Linked DNA regions of Cricetulus griseus. The protein of the gene in region 3 purifies or fractionates together with the protein of the main gene of each other region. This does not show direct contact. Links are inferred from orthologs where the notes say so. Each region holds a gene or a part of one and is shown on either strand. Other genes may lie near its edges.

What was found. Proteins that work in one complex are often made in the same cells at the same time.
Region 1: the proteins of Srpk3 (region 3) and Ebna1bp2 purify together in Homo sapiens (affinity purification with mass spectrometry; 3 studies listed by BioGRID and IntAct, with this or other methods). This does not show direct contact. The link is inferred for Cricetulus griseus from reciprocal best matches to the Homo sapiens genes SRPK3 and EBNA1BP2.
Region 2: the proteins of Srpk3 (region 3) and Son purify together in Homo sapiens (affinity purification with mass spectrometry; 3 studies listed by BioGRID and IntAct, with this or other methods). This does not show direct contact. The link is inferred for Cricetulus griseus from reciprocal best matches to the Homo sapiens genes SRPK3 and SON.
Region 4: the proteins of Srpk3 (region 3) and Ftsj3 purify together in Homo sapiens (affinity purification with mass spectrometry; 3 studies listed by BioGRID and IntAct, with this or other methods). This does not show direct contact. The link is inferred for Cricetulus griseus from reciprocal best matches to the Homo sapiens genes SRPK3 and FTSJ3.

What each region holds. Positions count from the first base shown.
Region 1 is NC_048595.1:33,706,566-33,710,633, forward strand, and holds the start of Ebna1bp2 (probable rRNA-processing protein EBP2), read right to left. Parts: upstream 2,801-4,068; 5' UTR 2,730-2,800; coding exon 2,664-2,729; intron 2,584-2,663; coding exon 2,500-2,583; intron 2,313-2,499; coding exon 2,140-2,312; intron 1,631-2,139; coding exon 1,507-1,630; intron 402-1,506; coding exon 312-401; intron 60-311; coding exon 1-59. Other genes in the region: Cfap57 (cilia- and flagella-associated protein 57), read left to right, coding at 3,303-3,459. UniProt on the Homo sapiens protein: Required for the processing of the 27S pre-rRNA.
Region 2 is NC_048597.1:6,128,890-6,133,139, forward strand, and holds the start of Son (protein SON), read right to left. Parts: upstream 2,801-4,250; 5' UTR 2,550-2,800; coding exon 2,473-2,549; intron 1-2,472. UniProt on the Homo sapiens protein: RNA-binding protein that acts as a mRNA splicing cofactor by promoting efficient splicing of transcripts that possess weak splice sites.
Region 3 is NC_048604.1:1,965,131-1,969,133, reverse strand, and holds the start of Srpk3 (SRSF protein kinase 3), read left to right. Parts: upstream 1-1,203; 5' UTR 1,204-1,255; coding exon 1,256-1,311; intron 1,312-1,388; coding exon 1,389-1,519; intron 1,520-1,699; coding exon 1,700-1,808; intron 1,809-1,908; coding exon 1,909-1,996; intron 1,997-2,274; coding exon 2,275-2,362; intron 2,363-2,826; coding exon 2,827-2,933; intron 2,934-3,003; coding exon 3,004-3,169; intron 3,170-3,265; coding exon 3,266-3,291; intron 3,292-3,784; coding exon 3,785-3,914; intron 3,915-4,003. UniProt on the Homo sapiens protein: Serine/arginine-rich protein-specific kinase which specifically phosphorylates its substrates at serine residues located in regions rich in arginine/serine dipeptides, known as RS domains.
Region 4 is NC_048600.1:119,201,763-119,206,046, forward strand, and holds the start of Ftsj3 (pre-rRNA 2'-O-ribose RNA methyltransferase FTSJ3), read right to left. Parts: upstream 2,801-4,284; 5' UTR 2,604-2,800; intron 2,521-2,603; 5' UTR 2,496-2,520; coding exon 2,429-2,495; intron 2,299-2,428; coding exon 2,193-2,298; intron 1,702-2,192; coding exon 1,655-1,701; intron 1,553-1,654; coding exon 1,473-1,552; intron 929-1,472; coding exon 829-928; intron 748-828; coding exon 553-747; intron 473-552; coding exon 357-472; intron 261-356; coding exon 156-260; intron 76-155; coding exon 1-75. Other genes in the region: Psmc5 (26S proteasome regulatory subunit 8), read left to right, coding at 3,016-3,069, 3,680-3,751.

The DNA.
Region 1 (4,068 bases), on a different chromosome or scaffold from region 3:
ATGGCATTCATCATATGTGCTTTCTCCCGTTGCCTCTTCTGAAGGACCTCAGTCTGCACCTGTGAGACAGACACAAGGTCAGTCATGCATCTCAAAACACGACTCCTGCTGCTACCTGCTGATATACTGGGTGCACCATGGTGCCCCATGGTGTCAAGTGAACCTGCACTCAGGGATTATGGTGGACACACTTCACCAGTAAGACTCACAGGACCAAACACACACACACCGGGCAAGAACCAAATCACACCACAGCAATCAGACCTGACATTCCTGGCCTTGTCCTATTCCATGCAGGTGTTCTTTCTTACCTTCTTTCCATACTTCCTAAGCGCTCGAAGTTGCTTGGCCTTTTCAGATTTCTCCATGGCAGCCTGTTTAGTCTGCAGCTTCTGTCGAATCTAAAACACAGGATGTTGTCAGGTATTATACAGAGTACACTAGACCAGGGCACCAGGATTCCATTAGCTCTGAAAGCCATGGATCTTGTGTACTTTCCTAGTTTTCCACATACAGACAATGCGGCCCCAAAGCTGAGCCCTTTATCCAGGAACCAACTGTCAGTGTGCAGATCTTAAAAGCAGCCCTGCCTCCTCAAGCACGCTTGTTCTCTTATATAAAGCTGCCTGTTTGTCACACAAGACCTGTTTTCTCCCAAGCCCATTTACAGATCAAGGCTAAACTTCAGTGCCCTCTTTAAGGGGTCACTGCACACTGATCCCTTGCCTCTCCCATCAAACACAAACATTTTACTGAAAGCATAAGTAGTCATCAGTGTTACTGTCAGGTTAATCTGGGCTTATCTCCAGGTTAGTTTCTTGGGGTACCACCTAGAATTCTCTAAGATGAAGACTGAAGCCAAGGGAACAATTTAAATACATCCTGGATTCCGAGTCAAGAAGTTTTTTTCCTCCCAAAGTTAAATGAGGATCAAGTCCCCCAACCCTAAATTACACTGTATCTGAGCCATCTATCAACCCCTCACTTTCTAGAAAACAGAGGCCCAGAGAAGAAAAACCTTTCTATAAGCAATAGTATTCTCGTTGGGCCCAGAACTACAAAACTGTTGTGTCTATACACCATGCCACTAACCCTGCCAAGAAGGGAATACAAGCCTTCTTTATCACAGGGACCACACCTCTTCCAGCTCTTCTCTCCGTTTTACCAAGTGACTGGCGTGCCTCTGAAGCAGAGACTCTCCATTAGAAATACTGATTACAGGGGCTAGAGAGATGGGTCAGTGGTTAAGAGCACTGGCTATTCTTCCAGAGGCCCTACATTCAATTCCCAGCCTCTACATGGCAGCTCACAACTGTTTGTAAACCCAATTACAGGATATCTTGACACCCTCACACCACTACACATAAAAAAATAAAGTAAAATAAATTACCAAAAAAAAAAAAAAATACTGATTACAGCCAACATAAATCCTTTTTAAAAACCACCAGCTGAATACTTCAGGGTGAAGCCCTGGCTTTCCAGAGAAAAAACTTGCCTGTCTCTTACCTTTTGCATCTGCTGGTCAGACTTGGCCATTTCTGCAAAATAATCTGTGGGTCGCTTGGTGGGGACTTGGAGCTGATGGAGCCGGGGTAATACTGCAAGCACTGCAGCCTGGGCCTGGCGGTAGCTGAAATTTCAGGACGGAGTTAAATGAGGGGTGAAGAAAGGCCTTCATTTCTTACTGCCTCTCAGGACTTAACTAGACTCAGGACTATCAATATCCCTCTGGCACTAGCAAGACAAAACAAAAACTGCAATAAAACTCCACTAATTTCATATAACAGAAATCTCATTTTACACTTATTTTTAAGGGGAAAATACTTCTAAGAATAAATCAACAGCTTAAAACAATAAGCTTATTAAAGGTACCATTAACATACAAAGTATGACCTCTTTCCCAATCATTACAAAGTCCCCTCGAAGCCTTCCCTAGGCAGTCTGCTCTGACTGGATGCACCCACACAAACTTTAAATAGCCCTTAGGCAGGGCACAGGTTAAATGATGACCAAGGAGCTATTCTTTCAAGCAGGAGGCACCCAAGGTTCGCGCTAACTCCTCGGTGTCTCTGAGGGGGGCAGGCATACTATACTCCCCTTCCCATGATTCTCTATCACAGGACTCATAACAAAACATACAAACTCATTTCCCTCTGGAAGTCGTCTTCTGGATTAACACCTTTCTTCTGGTCCTTGTTCTGGGGGGTTGGCTGAGTTTCACTGACTTCTGGCACTGGACCCAGGGTCACATCGAGCCTTTCAACCCACTCCAGATCCCGTCTGAATTCAGCCAAACACTGTTTCAGGCCATTCTAGGTAAGTCAGACACGGTGCTCATGAGAACCCAGAGTTTATCTCTCTCAAGCCCAAAGTGCTAAGCTCAAATACCAGTACAGCTCAAGGCACAGGGGGCATTTTTCTCGCAACAGTAGGTCTCCCAAGTAGCAGGGCGCCTATGCACACCCCATTCCAAGGACCCCAACCCGCGAGCGAGCTCACCACGTCATTCACCGCCTTCTTCGGCCTCTCTAGCACAACGTTGAGGCCTGGCTTCAGGAGTCCTCGGGAAAATGCATCCTGCAACTACAGACCCGGGGGCGTCAGTACCAGAGAGCTGGAGTTCCCGTTCCACGCCCTGTCCCGCGAGCCCCGCAGCCGCCTACCTCCCGGTCTGAGACCAGGGACTCTTCCGACTCCGCGTCCGAGTCTGAGAGCGGAGGGGTGTCCATCTCGCGATCTCCCGCCCCGCGGGGCGCGACAGCCACTCCACGTGCCCTGAAGACGAACCCGCGCCGGCAGCTTCTCCACAAGCCTCTGGCTTTTCGATCCGGACTTCCGCTTCCGGGTGCAGAGCCGCACTTCCGGTTTCTCGTTGCTATAGGAACCGCTCCGGTGTTTGGGCGTGCTTAGGTTGCTCGGGATATTTAGGAGGAGTACCTGCGGATCCCCGCTTGGTTTCGTAACCCAGGGTCGTGAAGCAAGAGGTGAGAGGTTTCTCTGAGGTCCTCTGAAGAGCCTGGGGTCGTTGAGGGAACAAGAGAGAAAGGCAAAGCGCGGAAGGAGCTGTGGGCGGGGGGAGGGGGGACAAGAGGAGGAGCCTGGGGGAGGGGCGACGAGGAGAGGAGTCTGGGGGGGGGGCAATGAAGGGGTGAGTTGTGGTTAGGGAGGGGCGGGCCAAAAGCGGATCCAGGACTGGGCGGGGCGGGGCCATGGGCGGGGCGGGGCCATGGGCGGGGGCGGGAGATGCAGTTCTTTCTCACCAGCCGCTGCTTTATCTTCAGCAGCACTTTCTGACAGGTACCATGTCCACCGTCGTAGCTCAGGCGCTGCATGTTTTTGGTCTTCGGTCGTACGTGGCCAACAATGTCTTCTTCTTCGATGAACAGATCATTATATTTCCTTCAGGAAATCACTGTGTGAAGTACAATGTGGATCAGAAATGGCAAAAATTCATTCCAGGTAAAAAGAAAGGGGGAAAAAAAAAACCTTCCCATCCTGTCACATATGTGAAAGGCTGTGCTACACAGAACCATGCAGTCTCAACGATTAGGAAGGTCTTTCTTGACAACTGGATATACATGTAGTTTTATAAATGTCAATTTGCACTGCTTAATTCTTAATTATAGACTAACCTGACACATGTAGTCAAAATGACTTGCATATTAACACTAATTTTAAATAATTTTAAAAAGTATTTTTTCACTGTGACTTCATAAAAGAGTTACTTTAAACAGTGTTTTTCTTGTATTGTCCTGCAGTGAGTTTGTCCTCACCAGAACCTTTTTTTTTTTTTTTTTTTTTTTTTTTGAGTAACAGTTTCAAGAATCCTTGTATGGTGGAGACACTGACAATTTTAACCCAAGTCACAAATAATCTTCCTTAAAACCTGACCCCTGTTTTTGTTTACATTAGTCCAGCCAATGATATTCATGACGCTTCCCCTACTTTTTTATCCCTTCACATGCAAATATAAAAGACCACAATACATATATGTAATCATTAATGAATTATTACTGTTAGTATTCAAGCATCTATCTGTACTGGCCTGTTCTTGGGGGCTCTGACAGG
Region 2 (4,250 bases), on a different chromosome or scaffold from region 3:
GCCATCACTGCCCGGCCAATAATTTCTTCCTAATGCTACCAGGATGTAATTACAATCACTGAAAAGCAATTAGAATTTAAAGCCACTTTGCTATCCAACAATGTGCCCTGAAAAGGAATTTATAGTTATGAAAAATATTCAAATTATTAAGAATTCAAACTACACAGTATATGTCTAAAACACACAATACAAAATGATCACATTAAGAGAAGGTGTCACACACCTTTAATCCCAGTGCTTGGGAGGCAGAGGCAGGTCAATCTCTGTGATTTTGAGGCCAGCCTGTTCTACATAATGAGTTCCAGCACAGCCACGAGCCAGGGCTACAGAGAAACCATGTCACAAAAGACACCCCCCCACACCCCAAAAAAAGGGCTATAAAAGCAAGGCTTATAAAAACAAGTAAACACATTTAGTGCAGTAAACTACTTAAACGTTCAAAATGGTGGTTGTGGTAGCACAGGACTTTAGTCCCAAAAAAGACAAGATCTCTAAGCATTCAAAGCCAGCCTGATCTACATAGCAAGTTCTAGATCAGCCAGAGCTACATAGTGAGACCCTGCCTCAAATCAACAAAAAGGTTTCTAGGAAAATTCTCTGCCAATGCCTCAAAATGTTTTGTTTTTTTAAAAAAAAGAAACGCCGGTCCCCAAGGAAGAAAAGGAAATTTTCTGAGGAACCTGAAGCTGTTGCTGGCTGTACAAAGAATACAAAGAAAAAATCCCAGAAAGCATCCCAGGAGGATTAGAATGGACATGCTTTGTGGGAGGGGCATACCTTAAGGTGACAGTTCCTACCCATGATAAACCCCAATAAAAACACAAAAAACACAAAAAACACAAAAAAAAAAAAAAAAACACGAAACGCTGGGAGTTGGTGGTGCACGCCTTTAATCCCAGCACTTGGGAGGCAGAGGCAGGCGGATGACTGTGAGTTCCAGATCACCCTGGTCTACAAGAGCTAGTTCCAGGACAGGCTCAAAAGCTACAATTAGGGACATGGATATGGATACATATATATATATATTGCTACTTAAAAAAAAATAGCCATGCAGTGGTGGCACACATCTTTAATGCCAGCACTAAGGAGGTAGAGGCATGTGACTCTCTGAGCCAAGGCCAGCCTGGTCTACAGAGTGAGTTCCAGGACAGCAATGTATACGGAGAAACCCTATCTCAAAAAAACAAAACGAAATAGGGGGGAATGTTGTAGTAGCTCAGGCCTGTGATCCCACCCATCACTAGGAGGTGTGGCTACACGACAAGGCTGTAAGCAGTGACATTCGTAGAGCCTGTCCTCAATAAAGAAAAATGAAAGAACCAAAACAACAACAACAAAAAATTACATTTTGAAAAAAAAAAAAACAAAATCGCAGCAATAAAATATTATTGCACGAATAACCCTAGCTAATTTGGGCACATAATTTACAACCGCTTATCAGTTGATTTTCTAATTCACATATTACTGCTCTCAACTTACACCATTCGTAAAGAACGTTTCTTAACTCAGAATATTTACTTTTCAAGAACTCTTTCTTGAAGAGTATTTTAAAGAAGCGGTCATGTGATACACAATATTACTACTAGAAGAAAACCATTGAATATAATCCCCACTATTTTCCGGAGTAAACAACTTCGGAAATTTCTTCCACTTGAAATTTTGGGAACCAAGGGTCATCTCTGAAGTCTACTTGCAGTGACAAAAAAAATAAAAAAAATAAAAAATAAAACCAAAAAAAAAAAAAAAAAAAACCCAGCGCGGCGACGTTCTTGAAATCTGCCCATTAAGTCAGGGCAGCAAGAAAAATAACAGCTCTCCACCCACAGTGCACTTCCTGCTTCACAAGCTTGAGCATCCACCAGTTCCGAAGCCCCCGGCCCGCCTCTGCCGAGTCTTTTTATCGCGTGTCCGCTGTTGAGGAGAGACGTCTCACTTCACCGCTGCTTGTTAAAAGGGGGAGCGCTCGTCCGGTGAACCGCACGGCCGGACGGCCGCCGGCCGCCGAGCGATCCCGAGCGGACAGCGGTGAACAAGTTTCCCCAGGGCCCCGGGGGCGGCCGTTGGAGCCCCTTTCCGGCGTGGACGGCGGCGGGCGAGCTGCGCGGAGGCGGGGAGGGGGAGGGGAGAGGCGGCGGCGGAGGAGGGGCCGCCGGGGACCAGGCCGGGCCTGGCGGACGCCGGGCCTCCTCCCTCCTCCGCCCGCCCGCCCGCCGGCCGCCCAAACCCGGCCGGGGCGCGCCTCGAGCCCGCGGGGAGGCCGGCGAGTGCGGACCGCGGCCCGGCCGCCGCCGCCCCCCCCGGGAGGAGCGGCGCGGATCGGGGATGGCCCGGAAAATGGAGCCCGGGCCCAGGCGGGGCCGGAGCGGGGCCCGAGCCGACAGACGACGGCGTCGCCGTCAAAGACGCCCCGGGAGGGCGGACGGGGCGCCCCGGCGGGCCGCGCGGGGCCGCCGAGTCCGGGGGACGGCTTACCTGGAAAGCTCCTGTTGTATTTCCCGGAATTTACTGACCACGAAAGACCTAAAAACCTGCTCGATGTCGGCCGCCATGGCGTCCGCTCCGTTCTCTCAACTCCTCCTCGCTAGTCCTCCAGGCTCCCAGCATGCCTCGGGAGGAGGCGCAGCGGCCAATTCCTTTTACCCGGCTCCGGATTGGCCGGCGGGGGCGCGTCCGGCGGGGCACGCTCCGCCCACGAGCCAATCAGCGAGCGGCGCCGCGCTCTCCTGCGCTGTCTCCGAGCCGCCCGGGGGAGAGGTGCTGACGTTTGCGCCGCGCACCAGCTAGTCCGCCATGTTAGTGCCTGACGCAGGCGCCATTACAGGAGCCGTGGCTCCCGGGGCGAGCGCGCCGGACCCCGGCCGCAAGGGGACCCCTCAGGGGCCTTCCCGTAACGAGTCAGCGCCCGCGACCAGGGGCCGCGGAGGGCGGGGACACGGGGCTGAGGGGCGGGGGGCGGGAAGGCTCGCACGCGCCGGCTGCGAGCGCCAAGCGGACGCGGGTCGGTCGGTCGGGTCGGGTCGAGCTGGGAACGGTGCACGGGAGCGGAGGAGCCCGGACCCCGCCGGGAGGTGCGGAGCAGCGAGCCCCACGCTGCCTCGTTACCGCCTGCGCCCGGCCTCACGGACCCGGTCTCAGCCCAGGCGGCGGCGGAGGCGGCGTCTGCGCGACCTACGTTCTAAACAGGGCGCCCGCGGGGCCCCGTCCCGAGCCCGGCCCCGGCAGGCTCGCCCCTCCCCGGCAGGCCGCCCCGTCCGTCCCCCGCGCGGGGCGCTCTGAGGCAGCGCAGGCTCGCACACCCTACGTGGCAGCCCTGAGGAGACTCGGCGAGCCGCGCGCTGGCTCCCGGGGACGCGGAGCCGGGCTGGGCAGCGAGCTCCGGCCGCGCCCTGGGGCGGCGGGCAGGGCGGGGACCGAGGCGGGCCGGCCAATGGGCGGCAGAGCTCGCCGGAGCGGGGCGGAGGCCCGGGGCCACTTCCGGCGGCGGAGCGGGCGGCCGCGTGCGTGCTGGGGTGCGTGCGTGCGTGCGTGCGGGAGCAGCGTGGCGCGGCGAGGCCGGCCGCAGGTGTGTGGACCCCCTCCGGATCGGGCGTGACTTGCCGGGCCTCCCTCCGCGGCCGGTGCGGGTATGCAGACTGGGCGAGCCGGGCGGGCAGGGTCGCGCTGCTGTGCACGGCCCCGAGCGAGGACCCTCTTCCCCTGCTCTCGGTTTCTGTGTGCACCCCCTCCCAGCCCCGTGCCTTCGGAAGACGGGCCCCTAAAGTGGAGCAAAAGCAGATGGGTTTGTCCTTGTCACTAACGGTTCAGCTGGACCAGCTTTCGTGTTTGCTTTCTGCATTTCTTTTTCCTTCCGAGACGGGGTTTCCCTGCGTGGCTCACCAGGCTGACCTCGAACTCACAGACACCCGCAAGCCCCCGCCTCCCGAGGGCTGGGATTAAAGGCGTGCGCCCCGCCGCCCCGCTTGGTTTCCAGTTTGTAAACAAATGTTTGGGAATGCTTTTGCCCGATTCTTGTATCCTCTCCTTCCCTGACTGAAACTCCTACTAATTAACTGACACCCAAGAAGGGAAAGTCTCCCCAGGCCGGCCGCCCAGGGAGTAAGGAAGGCCCTCTGACTCCGTTGCCCTGATACTCCAAGTGGACACAAAGATGTATTGGCTTCAGCTATTCCTTAGAAGTCTTCTCTAGCGTGCATCTGTGTGCCGCGCGCGCGCGCGCTTGCAGTGCCCAAGGAAGCCGGAAGAGGCTGGTC
Region 3 (4,003 bases):
TCCCAAGTGCTGGGAATATCTTTTTAAAGATAAGGTCTCATGCATCCCAGGCTGGCCTCAAACTTGCTATGTGTCTGGGGATGACTCTGAATTTCTGGTTCTCCTGAGTATTGAGATTACAGGCACATTCCACCACAACTGGTTTATGAAGGGATGGAGATCAATCCTAGGGCTTAATACATACCTGGCATCACTCTACCAACTGAATAGACTCTTCCAAGTTCCAGAGTGGGTTTTCTAAAGAGCAAAAGTACTTGTCCACTTTGCTGGAACTCCCCAGTGACATCCATAGACTCCAGATGAGGTTCTCAGTTGTTTCCCCAGGTCCTAGCCTTCTGTATTGTGCCAGCATATGGTAGTCTCCAGTATTCTCTGTGTTTCCCGGAATGCTTCTGGGGACTCAATGCTCCCTGGTCTCTCAGGATACACAGGATCCTTTAGTTACCACCCAGCTTATGGTCACCAATTGCAGGGTTTTTGTTCTCCTGATCCACAGGAGGAGCTGCAAACATTGGTGGAGACAGTCATCAAGGTAGAGGTGGCCAGCTCTAGAGCTAGGAGTAGGAGACTATACAAGCCAATAGTGATCTCAAGGGCCTGTTGTCTCTGATGGGAGGAATGGGCTGCCTTAAGCTCTTGACCTTGATCCCCTTGGTCAGCCACATTTAGATCTGGGCTCCCACCTGTATGAGGAGGTCCTGTGAATTACAAAAAAAAAGCTGGAATCAGGGCTTATAATAAGCAAAGAATGGGACTCAGATGGATTTAGCAGGGGTCACTTCCAGAAGGATACTCACATGGGTTAAGTGGGAAGTTCTAGAATACATCAAGTGACATACAGCATTTGGAGAGAGCTCATCCTAAGGATCTGGTCACCATGTCAACCACATTCTTTCATAGGAGTCTCCTCTCCCCACAGTCCTAGGGTGTAGGAGCTCCAGACTGCTCTATCACCATGTAGATGTCTTTCTTGGTTGGTCTTGGACTTTGGGGAATTGACCTAGAGGCTGAGTCTCTATTATAACCCCAGCTTGGTGGCCCCTTCTGTCTCTAGAGTATGGGTGAGACAGAAGGGTTCAGCTATCGGTGCACTGCCCCCTCCCTATGCTGCATACCTTGCCCACAGCTGAGCAGCTGGGAGGCTATTTATAAAGACGGGTGAGATCAGCGGCAGAGGCTATAAATGTACTGGCCACAGCTAGGCCCCACAGGAACAGTGGTCCAGTGCAACAGAGCTTTGGGCTGCAACACCAGGATGAGTGCCAATGCTGGTGGTAGTGGTGGTGTGGACTGTGGTGGCAGTAGCAGCAGGTATGACCAGGCTGGGGAGACGGAGGTCCCATACACCTTATGAGCTTACTGCCTGTGTCCTCCCTCTTCACCCACAGCTCTCAGACTTCCTGTGGGCCGGAGTCCTCAGGGTCTGAATTAGCTCCAGCCACACCGGCACCTCCGTTGCTACAGGGGTTCCTGGGCTCTGATGAGGAAGAGCAGGAAGATCCCAAGGACTATTGCAGGGGTAAGGCCTGACCTTGGCTGCATGTGGTCCACCAGATTGACACAGGGGTTCAGGACAGCCTGGGAGGAAGAAGTTGCCCAGAGACTAGGCCTCTCATGGGACAGATGATCAGCAGGACTAGGCTATCTTGAGGGATAGGAGAGAGACGCCCTACTCTGATCTATCGGCTTCCTTCTGCAGGTGGCTACTACCCAGTGAAGATAGGTGATTTGTTCAATGGACGGTACCATGTGGTGCGCAAGCTAGGCTGGGGCCACTTCTCTACAGTCTGGCTCTGCTGGGATATTCAGTGAGTAGCTGGGATCTGCCTGTGGGTTTGGTTGAGGCTACCACCATGACCATGTGAGTCTGGCAAAGACTGGTAGCCTATAAGGGTCTCCATATTACAGGCGCAAGCGCTTCGTGGCCCTGAAAGTAGTGAAGAGCGCAGGGCATTACACAGAGACAGCTGTGGATGAGATCAAGCTCCTGAAATGTGTGAGGCGCCTCCCCTACTGTTCCCAGCTTCTCAAACTGCTTTGGGCCTGGCAATGTGGGTGCAGGGCCTGCTGGGGCCCTGCAGAGTGGGGCGGGGCAGCTCCAGCTGGTTCTGCCAAGTAAGAGGACCTGGAGGGCAGACACCTAAAAGAGGCAGTTGCCTCTCTAAGTGGGCCCCAGCTGGACTGGGAAAGGGGGCAAGAAGTGCTTAAGAGGAGTTGAGCAGCTGGTGAGGAACAGGTTGGAGCCATCTGTGGCTCGTTGCCTTTTTGTTCCAGGTCCGGGACAGTGACCCTAGTGACCCCAAAAGAGAGACCATTGTTCAACTCATTGATGACTTCAGGATCTCAGGAGTTAATGGAGTCCGTATCCTTCAAAGGATGAGCAATATGGCAGTCAAAGGACCCCAGACTTCTGGTCTGCACCATGGGACTCAGCCCTTACAGAGACATCCCATGAAGCAACCCCACAATGCCCTTTGAGCATTTGTGTTTTTGAGTTGGGGTATCACAGTAGGACACTGCTGAATGACCCCCAAAATATAAAAGGCTGCTTTTGAGGCCTTTTGAACAATTGGGCAGACAGAAGAGTAAGGCTGGTCTGAGAGGCATCTCTAAGATGATAAAAGGTACCATCCCAACTGGCATACCTTTGCTGGTGACAGAAACACTATAAACAATAAACTGAGACAGTGATAGCCACCAAGATGGTCCAGAGAAAGTCCTGCTTTCCTGACCTCTGCACCACAGGAGCCTAGGCGCTCCTGTGCTGGAGGGTAGGTAAGCCTGTGCATTAGTTGTGTTGCTGGCTGCCCTTCACTCCAAGTCCAGATGTGTGCATGGTGCTAGAGGTCCTGGGCCACCAGCTCCTCAAGTGGATCATCAAGTCCAACTACCAGGGCCTGCCTGTACCCTGTGTTAAGAGCATTGTTAGGCAGGTAGGTGCTGCCCCAGGCTACACAGCTTGGCTGGGTGTGGCTGCTGGGGTTCAGCTATAGCTTTCACCAGGTGCTACATGGTCTGGATTACCTCCATACTAAGTGCAAGATCATCCATACGGACATCAAGCCTGAGAACATCCTACTGTGTGTTGGAGATGCCTACATCAGGCACCTGGCTGCTGAAGCCACAGAGTGGCAGCAGTCAGGGGCCCAGCCCCCATCCCGCTCCACAGGTACCAAGAGCATGTGTGGGGACTCTTGCCAGGACTCAGGCCACAATCCCTACCTGAATTACTATTCTTTTTCTCTCCCTAACCCCTACCCCGTAGTCAGCACCGCCCCCCAGGAGGTCTTGGTAAGTTGTGGCATCCCTCTTTCCCTGTTTCCTTTTCCCATCCAAGGCAGATGAGCCATATCCTCAGGGCTGGGCTCCTCAGCCACACCTGTTCCACTTTATGAACTTCTGCAGTGGCATCTCTAAATAGTTGGGTACATGAGAAAAGAGTGATTATACAACAGTGGGCTATGTGCTCCAAACTGCTTCTGGTGACCCACTATCACTTCAATGGAAAGATACTGTGCCTTCACCAAATGGCTATTTCAGGCCGCTTCATCTAAGCTAGGAGTGGACAAGGAGCAATTTAGGGCAGGCCCACCACATTCTCCCAAACAACAAAGCTTTAGGGAGTAGGAAGATAGGAGGAAAGGCAGAGAAATGGATGAGGGGCTGGCACTAAGGGTGAGACAAAAGGTAGTACCACCATTTCTCTGACACCCCCATAGGAGTTAGTTCTGGGGTCCAGGGCTAGGCAGAGAAACTAAGGAGGTGACCCTCACTCTGGTGGCAGACTGGTAAGCTATCCAAAAATAAGAGGAAGAAGATGAGGCGTAAAAGAAAGCAACAGAAGCGGCTGCTGGAGGAGCGGCTGCGGGACTTGCAGAGGCTGGAGGCCATGGAAGCGGCAGTACAGGCTGAGGGTGAGGGGCCAGAGAGGGCACTGGGTTACTAAGCATGCAAGTGGAATACAGGTCTCTGCTCAAGGTGCACTTCTGCCCCTTCTCCCCAG
Region 4 (4,284 bases), on a different chromosome or scaffold from region 3:
GATGTCCTGACAGCATGCTCTTATATCCTCAGTTGTAGCTGGATGCTGTGCTAACTCTTCATCATCTATTGAAATCTATTTGTGGGGGAAAGGAATGAAATTTCTTTCTGGACATGTTTCTGGGGCTCCCTTATACCTTCAATCTGTGAACTCACTTCGCTGGCCTTGGAAAGAAAGTCAACAGGATTGGCAGCTCGCAAGAAGTCAGTGACTGAGGTTCGGTGATAAAGAGTGAGGTCACCCTCAGCATAGCCTTCAGCCTTAGGAAGAGGAATCAAGATGGCTGGTTAGACAGTCCCTTTTTGGATGTCAAGCATTCCCAGTTTCAGGACCCATTTCTCAAAACAAAAAAGCACCTTTGGCTTCTTCTTTGTCACCAACTCGGTAACAGTTTTAGCCTGAACTTCAACCTCCTTAAAGGCAAACTTAGGATCGAAGAATTTACTGTCAACCTTGTCAGGAGCCAGAAACCCTAAAAATGGTAAGATAGATCAAAGGTATGCCTTCATAACTAGAAAGCTGTGTCAAGAGAAAGAAGTAGTGATGTCCTACCTTGGCAGACTACAAAAATTTCTGCAGATTCATGGCGAGAGGCCTGGGGCTTCGTGGCCTGGACACGGTGGAACAGCTGCTGGAAGATCCATAGCAGGGGCTGATAGTCACGGGAACGGAAAACTTTTGTGATGAAACAACCACCACGGGCCAAAAAATCACAAGCCAAACGCAGCGCCATCAGTGTCAAGTTAGCTGTAGGACAGAGACAGTAAGAATCTGCAGCCTCAGGGCGTGACACCTCCACCCTCACCTCCAAGCCCCACATTCCTTTACCTTGTGAGTAAGCATCATGGACCCAACTAGCCCCAACATTAGGAGCCCCATCATTGAGTACAACATCAACCTTCCATGTCTTCAGCTCCTTCCTCAGGGCCTGTGAAAAGTAAAGGGTTTAGAGCAACAGAAACAAAAGGGCTAAGAAAAGAATTCCTAGTTCAGTGTTGTCTGGTTGTTTACTTAGTGCCCACCATTGGCAGCATCCTGTACCAAGTACTGGGAATGCAACAATAAACAACATTTCTGTCTTCACCAAGCTTAGAATAAGTTCACTGGGAAAGCGCTTTACTGAAGATCTCTTGTCCTGCTACCAATTCACAGCACTATTTCTACCAGGCCATGGTAGCACATGCCTGTAATCCCAGTGCTCAGTAGGCAGAGGCTGCAAGATCAAGGCCAACCTTGTTCTGTGTCAGTCTTCGCTACATATGTATATAAGCTAGCCTGAAGTACACAGCAAGACCCTGTCTCAAGGAAAAAAGAAAACCTTGATTCTAAGTAAAGCTGGAAATGCACACTAAGATTGTCATGGGTCTTTTGGGAGCATGTGCTTAAAAACCATGGGAAATTGGGAAGTGTTTCACCCTTACAAGGCAATGATGTCAGCACATAACAGGGCAGGAAGGAGAAATTCTTATTACCTGCCTACATCGCTCTGTTGTGATATCTTCCTGGAGAGTCACAACATTGGGAAGAGGCTTGATTGGAACCAGGTCCACTCCTGGAAGAAGTTAGGTCAGTGTATTATTGGGTGGAGGAAGAGGTAGAACAAAGTTAGTACTGCAAACACCCTCTCCCTCTAACACCCAGGAGAGTCACTCACCCACAATAAGACTGGATACAGGCATAAACTTGGCAGCCACCTGCAACCTGTAGAAAGGATAAATTAAAACACCTCCCCCTTCTTTGGCAATGTGATGATTCACCCCTTTTAGGGATACCTATTACATGTAGTGGCCAAATGTCTTTATGCACACATTCTCTACAATCATGAAGCAAACTGCTTGAATTCCAGCACAGGCCTGCATTCCCAGCTCAAAGGGCAAGGCAGTAAGTTCAAAAGTTTAAGGCCATACTAGACAACTTTTAAATTCTCCCTGTCTCAAGAAATAATAAAGCAGATTGGGGTATAACTCAGAGGTAGTGCGCCTGTCTAACATGAGGAAGCCCTTGGGTTCAGCCACAGTTCAGGAAAACTGTCTTCCAAAGTTTCAGAAAGGAACGTACTATAATATATTTAATCTCAATCACCTAATTGCTGTAACGGATTTGGGTAGAGATCCGATTACCACCCCCAAAGCAACTCAAAACCAATCAGGGCCAGGAAGGTGCCACCAAGAGCAGCCCCTGCCAAATGTTACCATCCTCCGGGCGCAGCACACAGGTCCAGCAAGGCCCGGGCTTTTTGCAGGAACTGAAAGCGGCGATTGAGCTGGATCAGTTTGAAGGCGGAGCGCGAACGATAACCTGGGCCGTAGAGAGTTAGTGTAGAAAACAATAACGCCTACGGAAGCCTTTCCTATCAGGACTTCACGGCCTCACACCCATCGGCCCCTCTAAGGAAAAGCAGTCAGTCAGAAAAAGTGGGCCGACTCACCGGTCTCCTTGGCCAAGTGATAGAACTTGTCCCGCCGGCTCTTGCCGACTTTGCCTTTCTTGCCCATGGTGCGAGGGGTGAGATCACTCACTCTGGGGAGAAAGGGAAAGTTGAGAGCATCTTCCCGAAAACTGGGTTCTGCTTCGGTTTCTCAGTGGGCGAAGATCTCACTCACCGGGCACCGAGACAGCCCTGAACTCCACAGGGCTTTCAACACCGGAAGTAGCACATGTAGGCAGCAATCGTACTTCCGCTTCCGCTCGCGGTTTTCTTTTTTGCATTCCTGGCTTTGTTTTCCGCCATTTTGAGTGTGGCCAAAAATTTTGTGTCCGCTGGTCTTACAAGTCAAACGAGAAGCCTAAGAAGGCCGCGCACAATTGCTACTATCCTAGCCTCTAAGAAACAACAGCCAGAAGGCCTGTGTCTCTTCGCTCCCTCCGAAAGCTACTGACGTCCAGCAGCTCCTCTCCCATTAGAGCCTGTGTTATGGTCTCGCCACACACCCCGCCCATTGACCCGGAAGTGTTCTCTGCCGGGTCCCAGGCCGCAGGCTTCCGCCTCCGCGCCTGCGCGGTAGGGCGACTTGGATGCCGGCGGTCTCTGCCGAAAGAGGGAAGATGGCGCTTGATGGGCCGGAGCAGGTAAGGCGGCCGGCGGCGGCGGCGGCGCGCGGGGCGGGGCGGGGCGGCCACCCGAGCTGAGTGCCGGGTGCTTGTAATCGGAAGTGAGAGGTGGCCGAGAGCGAGGGGTCGAGTGGGTGAAGGATGGGTGGACCACGCCAGACGACCCTGCCTGGCACTGGATCTGCTGTGTCAGCGCCGCCCGGGTTGAGCAGGACAGGGCTGGGTAGAAGGAGCTGGGAGCTAGGCGAGCAGGAAGGGCCTGCGGTTGGACCTGGACTCGGGTCCTCCGCTTTGACTTTGTAGAAGTTAAACCTTGGGTTTTGTATAGCTCTTGCCATAGAGAAAAGTGCTCCGTGTATTCATGGCCCCCTGAGCCTCCTGAAAGTCTTCGAAGTTGGGTGGTAATTGCATCCTTTTTTAGTGGATTCAAAAGGGAAGGGTTAGAACCAAGAACTAAACTAAGCCTCCGAAGTTTAAACACACAGACCTCACCCATCGAGATCTGAGGAAAGGGGATGGGATTTTTCTGGCCCTGTTTCTTAAGCCATATGGCGACGTGCCCTGGGAACAGTTTGGCTTAATCCCTTAGTAGTTTAGGCACTTGTTTAACAGTTACACTTGTCTTCAGATGGAACTGGAAGAGGGGAAGGCAGGCAGTGGACTCCGCCAATATTATCTGTCTAAGATTGAAGAACTCCAGGTGAGTACCGACACCAGAGGGAGCTAGTCGAAGATGAGAAGTGATAGACGCAGAAATTGCAAGTCCTTATTCCACTGGGAGGACAGTGAAGAGTCCTTTTCCTGTGTTGTTCCCTTGTGGGGTTTTGTTGTTGTTTTTTTTTTTTTAATTTATTATGTGTATGTGTGCATACAATGCTTGTGTAAGTTTATATGCACCATATGTGTGCAGGTGCCTGTGGAGGCCAGAAGAGGGCAATGGATTCCCCTGGAACTTGAGTTACAGGTGGTTATGAGCTACCATGGATACTGAGAACTAAACCCAGGCCCTCTGCAAAAGCTGTAAGCCCTCTAAACTGCTGAGTAATCTCTTCAGCCCCTTTTTGTAGTTAGGAATTAATAAGCAGTGTAAAGCATATTAATAATCTCCTGCCCTAAGTGCCCATTCCTTTGATTTAGTATTTATTATTTGAGTAGTATTTAGTTACGGTTTGTTTGTTTGCTTGCTTTTTAAGACTACCATTTTATTTTACGTGTATGGGTGTTTTGCCTGCA